Linked DNA regions of Kluyveromyces lactis. The protein of the gene in region 1 interacts with the protein of each later gene in a pairwise test. Links are inferred from orthologs where the notes say so. Each region holds a gene or a part of one and is shown in the gene's direction. Other genes may lie near its edges.

Evidence for each region. The genes of interacting proteins can lie anywhere in the genome.
Region 2: the proteins of KLLA0_C09394g (region 1) and FOB1 interact in a two-hybrid assay, tested with the Saccharomyces cerevisiae proteins (2 studies listed by BioGRID). The link is inferred for Kluyveromyces lactis from reciprocal best matches to the Saccharomyces cerevisiae genes NET1 and FOB1.

Annotation. Positions count from the first base shown.
Region 1 is NC_006039.1:816,482-820,847, forward strand, and holds the start of KLLA0_C09394g (uncharacterized protein), read left to right. Parts: upstream 1-1,443; coding exon 1,444-4,366. Other genes in the region: chromatin-associated RNAPIII regulator FPT1, read left to right, coding at 13-897. UniProt on the Saccharomyces cerevisiae protein: Has a role in chromosome maintenance and is involved in mitotic exit. Inhibits the action of CDC14 by sequestering it in the nucleolus. Also binds to RNA polymerase I and stimulates rRNA synthesis.
Region 2 is NC_006042.1:1,772,099-1,775,569, forward strand, and holds FOB1 (replication fork barrier binding protein FOB1), read left to right. Parts: upstream 1-1,228; coding exon 1,229-2,812; downstream 2,813-3,471. Other genes in the region: GPI-anchor transamidase subunit GAA1, read left to right, coding at 1-888; KLLA0_F19162g (uncharacterized protein), read right to left, coding at 3,142-3,471.

The DNA of each region.
Region 1 (4,366 bases):
TCATTGGGAGAAATGGATAAGATATACGTTTATGCTGGTGAAAATAAGCCGAAAGTCGAGCTTACCAAAATCAAGAACGTGCCGCGAATTGAAGAGATAATAAGGTATTTACATAGGATGCAAGATGTGTTTCAGCTGCAACTAAGAGCTGTGGAAACAATTACAGGAAACTTAAAGATAAAGTCCAATTCGCATAGTGATGATACTGACGATCATGACAAGCCGTTTTACATTTTAGAATATTGCGTCGCTGAAGATACGTATTCTTTATGGAAATCACGTTCAGAATGGAAGTTGAGTTCTGCAATAGCAACTTTATACGGCAGTAATACGTTAACGGACTTACCTGATCGTCTAGTTGAAGCATTGAAAGACTCACAGCATATCTTCATGGTCAGAAACCTACTTAAAGAGTTCAACATTAGGGATACCATGAAGATCGATTGGGACTCTATTGCCACTGACCTTATGATATTTTTTGAAGCCAGAGAGTTGAAGAAACCAATTGATCCTTATGAGCTTAAAACATCAATGGCTCTTTCTCTGCTTAGATCTATGGTTGACCTTAATAAAAGAGAGCTTGGCTCTACCCTTCTATCGTATGATGTTAAAGTCCATCAGGACAACAGCCCAGTTTCATCTCCTCCTTCCGCTTCCACTAAAGCTAATAAAAATATAACGTTTCAGTCTGATTACACACATATGCCATCAACCCAACTTCAATCAAACTTCAACACTTTCTTCCAATCCATGGCTGAGAATTTCGAGACCTATGACACGGAAAGACAACCTTCTACGAGATCATTGAGGTTGCCGTCATTTGCAAAGAATAAAAAAACACCTGCCGGACAGGTCCATAAACCTGCTAGGAAGGGGAACGGAATGTCTATCAACTAAAAATAAAAATTCTATTACTCAAATTTGTCGATCTCGAATTGTTAGGTTCAGTGCGCCTCTTTTGTACCCCCCAACTGAATGCAGATATCTCAAGACGAAGTTGCTCTCATCTATTTGATACATTAACATCTATATTTAAAATATACAAAAAGAAAATAAACGATACCATCAAAAAAGGAATCTTACTTAAAATCTCTGATGTTAGGAATGACAGGCCCTCAGGTTGCGGTCTTCTCCATATCATTATTCACTAACCATTAACATATTTACGTGTTTGCCTTATGTACATAATACAATAGCGCTTAGCTTCTCAAATCATATTAAACGAAGGCGGCATTTCTGTCAAAACCTCTATCTATTTTAAAGTTGAACATTTCATAAATGAAGAGAACCAAATTATATCAACAAAGAACAAAACAAAAACAAATAGTCGAGACAGTTGTATCTATCGGCAGTGTCCTTGGGGTTACAATTTGAAATCAACTCCATTGAACTGGTCGCAAGAGTATTTTTATAAACTCAAACAGGTGTGATCGTTTTCTTGCAATGTTTAAGTTGCAAGTTGTGTTGGTGCCTGCGGGCGCTAATAGAAGTTTCAATTTTGGTTTACCTTCTGTATCATCAGAATCCTCTCAGTTTATTCTGCCTGTCCAACAACAGGTTCTGCAACAGGGAGGAAATGCTCCCCAATTAGCGAATAATATTCCGGCTCAGAATGGAATTGGGGCTCTAGACCCAAATGTATCAACAAATACAGCGTATCTTTCCAGTTTTATGACCTCCCATATCACAAGACCGAAACTCAAAAAATTCTTAATATTTACGAAACCAACAAATACGTTATATCAGCTCTCGCAGGAAATATTAGACAAATGTAACAAAATTTACCCCAATTTATCAACAGAATTAGAAATCGATACCTTACAAGATGTAGATGAATGTGATTTGGATCCTGATTTTGTCGTAAAAGATGTGTTCAATGTTTACAATACAGTTCGCGTAATCTTAAGAAATGATGTTGACTTAGAATCTAATCCAGATAGGCAAGAATCATTATACTCTTCCAAGAGAAGAAAGTTGAATAACGGGAACTCTCAACAAAACACCTCGACAGGTGCAACATTAGATCAACCCGTAACAGTTGCAAAAAGGAGACCGCAAGCATTAAAAAACTCTGCATTGAGGATATCTACACCCTTGGCGCACCAAATTTATCCTCCTCCGAGTCAAAGAAATCCGAAACAAGTAAATTCTGACTATGAAGAGGATGAGTATGGGGATGATGAAATAGGTGATAAATCCATTTTACCACCTCCAACTGTTCCTCAATCCCCTCCAATTAGAATAAGTTCAAGTATTGCGCAAAAACGATTGAAAATTAACGGCTCAGAAGATACTGTGTCAAAATCAGAAACAGTCGATCCAAGTAAAGCTAAACAGCAAAGATTACCATCAGGCACTCCAATGAAACCAATGAACGTTATAGAGACACCTAATAGACCAGGTTTCTTAGCAATGCCTCAGCAAGCACAGCATTTGTTAAGAATTAATTCTACTCCGGTGGTCACCAATAAAAGGATTACTTCAGGAATGCTACGCATTCCCGAACCCAGGATTTCGGAGATGGAAAGAACAATGCATGAAGGTCTTTCTTCTCCAGCTGCTGGCCTTCTGCCACCTAAGTCAGCTAAAATTCCAATGAAAAAACAGTATATTCCTGACGAGCACGATTCCTCTAGCTCTGAAGGAGAATTTACTGAAGACAAAGAAAGCGTTCCGGTCCGAGTCAACTCAAAAGCTCCATTGCCAGTTAGTGTGCAGAGTCGTGCACCTTCATCCATTGCCGATGATAACGGTTCTCCGACAAAGAAAAGTCCTCTAGATGCTACTAAGCGCATGAATGTCAAAGTAGCTGACCTTCCACCACAGAGGAAAAGTTCTTTGGAGGCGAAAGTGGAAAAATTAGCTAAAAATGCATCAGAACTAGTAGCTGATAACCATTTATCAAGCAATACTACGAGAAAAGAAGGGTTCAGTGAATCGGAATCTGAAAATGCAGAAAGTGAAAATGAGGCCAATGATACTGTATGCATTCATCCAACTGACCGAATGGATGGTAGTTTCCAGAAATCCGAGTTGCTCGAATTATTGAAGGGGTCTAAATTCGATGTCCCTCCGGCCTTCAGAAGAGCTGCTGGAGCTTTACAGGAAAATGATATTAATAAACGATCGAGAAAACCATATCTTACGGTATTAAACAAAGATATCGACAATAGTGAACCTGATCCAAGAAATATCCTACCTTCAAAGCTCCCAAGACAGGCTGCTCAAAAAGCAGCCCAATTCATCTCTACAGGAACCTCAAGGAGACCGTTGCAGTCTTCGTCTTCTTCTTCTTCTTCTTCTGCAGTCGTTAGTGAAGAACCATCTTCAGATAGTGACATTGAAACAGAAAATAGTGATAATAGCATGGATGAAGTCAACCTCAAAAGACTAAATGTGCATCCATTAAGACCAGTTATGGTACCGGTTGAGGAAACTCAGGATACAAATGAGCTTAACAAGACAAATTCAGCTAATTCATCATCATCCTCTTCAGAAGAAAGCGAAAGTGCTGATGAACCAGGAAATGAGGAAGGAAAAGCTGCTGGTTCAGAAAATCCACAGAAATCAGAAAGTAAGGTCGACCAAATGAAGAGTGTTTCCCAGCCTGCCAAAGTCACTAGCTCGAGGCTAATAACATTGAAGCCTGTTGATACACCCAAGGAAGTGACGCCGTCGCCTTCGATGCAGCTACATGATAAGATAGATCGCCAGCTTTCGCCTTCCCCTACTAGGAATAAAAAGGATTATATCTCCCCTGAGTTCATAGAGGATTCCGATGGTGATGCTGAAAATGAGAATATAACATTATCCCAAAGATCCCAAAATAACAAAGAAAACACGGAACCCTCCTTTAACAAAGAAAATAGCGAAGACATCAAACTGAAGAAAATAACACCATCCGTATTGAAAAAGAAGCAAGAAGCAGAACAAAGAAGATTACAGCGAGAAGCAGCCAGAAAAGCGAAAGAGGAAGAGAAGGAAAGAAGACGGGCCGACAGAGAAGCTGCTAGAAGAGCAAAACAAGAGGAGCAAGAAAGAAAGAGAGCTGAAAGAGAAGCTGCCAAAAGAGCGAGACAAGAGGAGATTGCTCGCAAGAAAGCTGAATCTACAACGAAAAAAGGACCGAAAGAAACTAAGAAAAATGGAGATATAACCCCCAAGGTAATTGAGAGAGCAGAGACCGAATCTTCGGCCAACGGCACACCTGCAAAAAAAGCTGCTGAATCTGGTGTACAGTCACCTGACTCTCCATCAAGAGCATCAAAGTTAGACGAACTACGGAATAAATTCGCTGTTGGGAAAGCGTCCATAACAGGTCCGCCTAAGAAAACTATTAATAAACCTATCAAACTTCAGTTGTCTT
Region 2 (3,471 bases), on another chromosome or scaffold:
GTACTTTCTGGAATCAAGAACTGTTACGGTAATGAAGCATTTAGTGGTTGGAGAATCCAATCATTGACTTTAAAGGCTAAGGGGATTGATGGACCACACGACATCACAACATTTGGTCGTGTGCCAGAGGCATTGTCTAGATCTGTCAATAACTTGCTTGAAAAATTCCATCAATCATTCTTCTTTTATCTTCTACTAGCACCTCGGTATTTTATATCAATCGGGACTTATTTGGCGACTGCGGTGGCTGTCTCGGTGGCCTTTGTATTCGCAGCATTAAATCAAATTTTGAATAACAAATATGGTGAACTTCCGTTGCTGTCTATATACAACATTTGGTCAATTCTAACATTCTGCATTTCTTTGGTATTTGCCTTTGCTACTTCGCAACTATTCGTTTATTTCCCTCTACCTCGAGTCCTTTTGGGACTCAGTGGTATATTTTCGGTGCTTCCGCTGCTTTCGAGAACTAGACTAAGAATCCAAGAACCTTTCTCATACAGATTTAAAGCTTTCGCATACATCTATATGGCCATTGTTTTGACTTCTCTATTAGTATTGAATTTCTCACTTGCGATTGTGATGGGCTTGCTTGCATTCCCAATGACAAGAACTACGACAATTATCGAGAGTAATCTAAGGCTGTCGATAAAAAACCTTGTCTTGCTTATAATATCCAATCCTTTCATTGCAACTTGGGCAGTGGTGAACTTCGTGGAACCAAGATTATCTGGTTTCAAGGTTTTTTACGCCCTTATTGAAGCTTCGCAACAGTTGGGGTGTTGGACATGGTACATCATTTGCTTAGGATGGTATCCGAGCTGGTTACTAGTAACGTATGCTAGTATTGATGCCATTGAAGTGCAGACGCCCATAAAAAAAGAATAAACGTCTATATTTTAGCAACAAGTGTTATATAAAAACAAAAACTACTCATCAGCAAAAGGGGCCCGCTTATTATCATCGTGTGTACATATATGTAATTGCTCATATATACTGAGAAGCTTTTTACCATGCTTATTATGTTTAGAGTATGATCGAGATCAATTTGTTAATGCTAAGCAAAACCGAAAAAAAAAAGTTTGTAACGGGTTCTTTCATCAGCTTCAGCGTTTAAAGTAACCATTCTCAACCTAATGAAGCATAGCCTGGTTGTTCCAATCTCTGCAGTGACTATATAAGATATTGTTCAGAATAAGGTAATTTGTTCTTCGTATCATTTCAAGGTATGAATATTAGTGATACTGCTGATAAAACTACCAACAAAGAGAAGTCTGGGACAACCGATGAGATGACATCGGAGAAAGATAAACTTTTGGGAATCAGAAGTCCGGAAGGCGAAGTAGCTTTGTACCCTGCTAGTGCTAGTACAGAATCTACTGAACCTGATTTTAAATTTGTTCTGCCTGTCAAAGGTTTTGATTTAGGAAGCTTTTGCGGAGAATTGGATCAAGACATGTTAATTGAAGGTAGATTACAACTGGAAAAAGAGATTAACACCGTTAAAGGTCAACTAACACAACCAATATACGACTTACTGCACTCTGATGCCTTAACCAAAGAGAATCTACTCAGAGCCAGTGATAAAGTTACTAACTCTACTGTGGAGAATAAATTCGTATTGCTAAAGAGACGCTACTACGTTCAAGAGAATTTACTACACGATGTGAAGCGTAAAGATTTAGTAGTATATGAGCCAAATGAGCTATTCGACTTAATAATGTCTGTTCATGTACTGAATTCACATGTTTCGTCTAAGGGAATCTACAATGAACTTTCGACCTTCTACGCAAACGTCACTCAATCGTTCTGTAAGTTAGTGACATCGTTTTGTTCTAAATGTAATGAAAGTGGGAACAAGATAAGCTATAAAAAATTTAAACACGAGAATATACATGCAAATCTAATTCCATTGGGTAGGTGTCATGTTGAAATCTTTGCACCTTTTGATTCGGCCTATCAAGGGAACGACAACACGGACGAGTTAAAAATTGAAGGAAAATATCCATTTGTTCTGTATTGTAGGGATTATTACTCAAGGTATGTCTGGTTAGAACCCTTGAAAAGTGTTACCTTATCTGATCTATTGCCAGTGATGACAAAATTATTGTTTTCCATGATTAGGATGCCCATCTTTATCGACACATGTACTTTGGATAGACAGGATATGTTCGATGTTTGTGAGAATATTGCAAGAATATACAAAATTAAGATCGGACTCGGAATGAACAGCTCTACCAGCTTTCAGAAAACTGGAATCAAAAGAATGAAATCGTTATTCCTCCAACATAAGGAAGAATGTTTACATGATTGGAACATGTGTTTAAAGTTGGTTGTTTCGAGACTAAACCAAAATTATTCAGACAGAGTTCGTGGTGTTCCAAGCGATTTACTATGTTCAACACAACAAGATTTACATAAGAAGTTCAGGACGTTACAAAGAAATGTCATCTCTAGACTGCTGGGGCATCATGTTGTTCAATTTGAAGAAGCTGGTGGAATGATTTACCTTGAAGATGAAAATAGCCCAAATCTACTTCTTTCCGGAGATGACAATAGTGAGGAATCAGAGCATGATTCAGAAATATTCGATGAGCTGGCCTCTTCTCGAGATGGTACTCCAATTTCTGAACAACCTTCACCACACCGAACGAACATGAATTATGATGGGATAAATCAAGAATCGGAGAAACACAGGATAACAAAAAAGAGATCTAAAAAGGTGAGACGTCCTTTAGATCAAGACAAGCATGCTACGCGAGCGTCCGTATACAACCCGTATAACATTGCTGACGTTTCTATGGAGCTATGATGGTATGTTTTTTTAGAGTAACCGTAATACAATTATAAAAATTCTTCATAAAAGAATACTTGATGATAGATATTTAGATTTAATGTAATTTATACCAAAATTTTTGATTAAAGTTCAAATTAAAGAAGTTGCGATTTATGTTGGCCCGTCCAAAGCGGGAAAATTGAAATAAAAGTGACAAACGAATGGTTTATAAGCCGGTCAAATATTAAATGCAAGTTAATACAGCCAATTCGTATGTGTTGCTTGATCATGATTCGTAACTATTTTTGAAATTTTTTAGAATGAATTGAAGTGGATGATGAAGCATGCTCAGGCATACCCAGAACCTAATCACGGTACTTGTCAAAGAAGGCCTTGTGGAATTTTTCCCATGTTTCTACCCATTCGGTCCCTGGTGGTAGGAATGTGGTTCTTAAGTGATAAGTACCTGGGACTTGTCCGAAACCAGATCCTGGAACGGTGCAAATACCAGTGTTTTCTAGTAATGCTTTACAATAAAATTCATCAGGTTCCATTTCAAGATGCTGAGCTTCCTGGATAACTTTATAAGGAAGATCGAGTTTTGGATATAGGTACATGGCACCTTGAGGTTTACGGCATTCAATACCTTCCAATCTAGAGAATGTTTCGAAAAGTTTAGAGGCACGTTCGTCCAA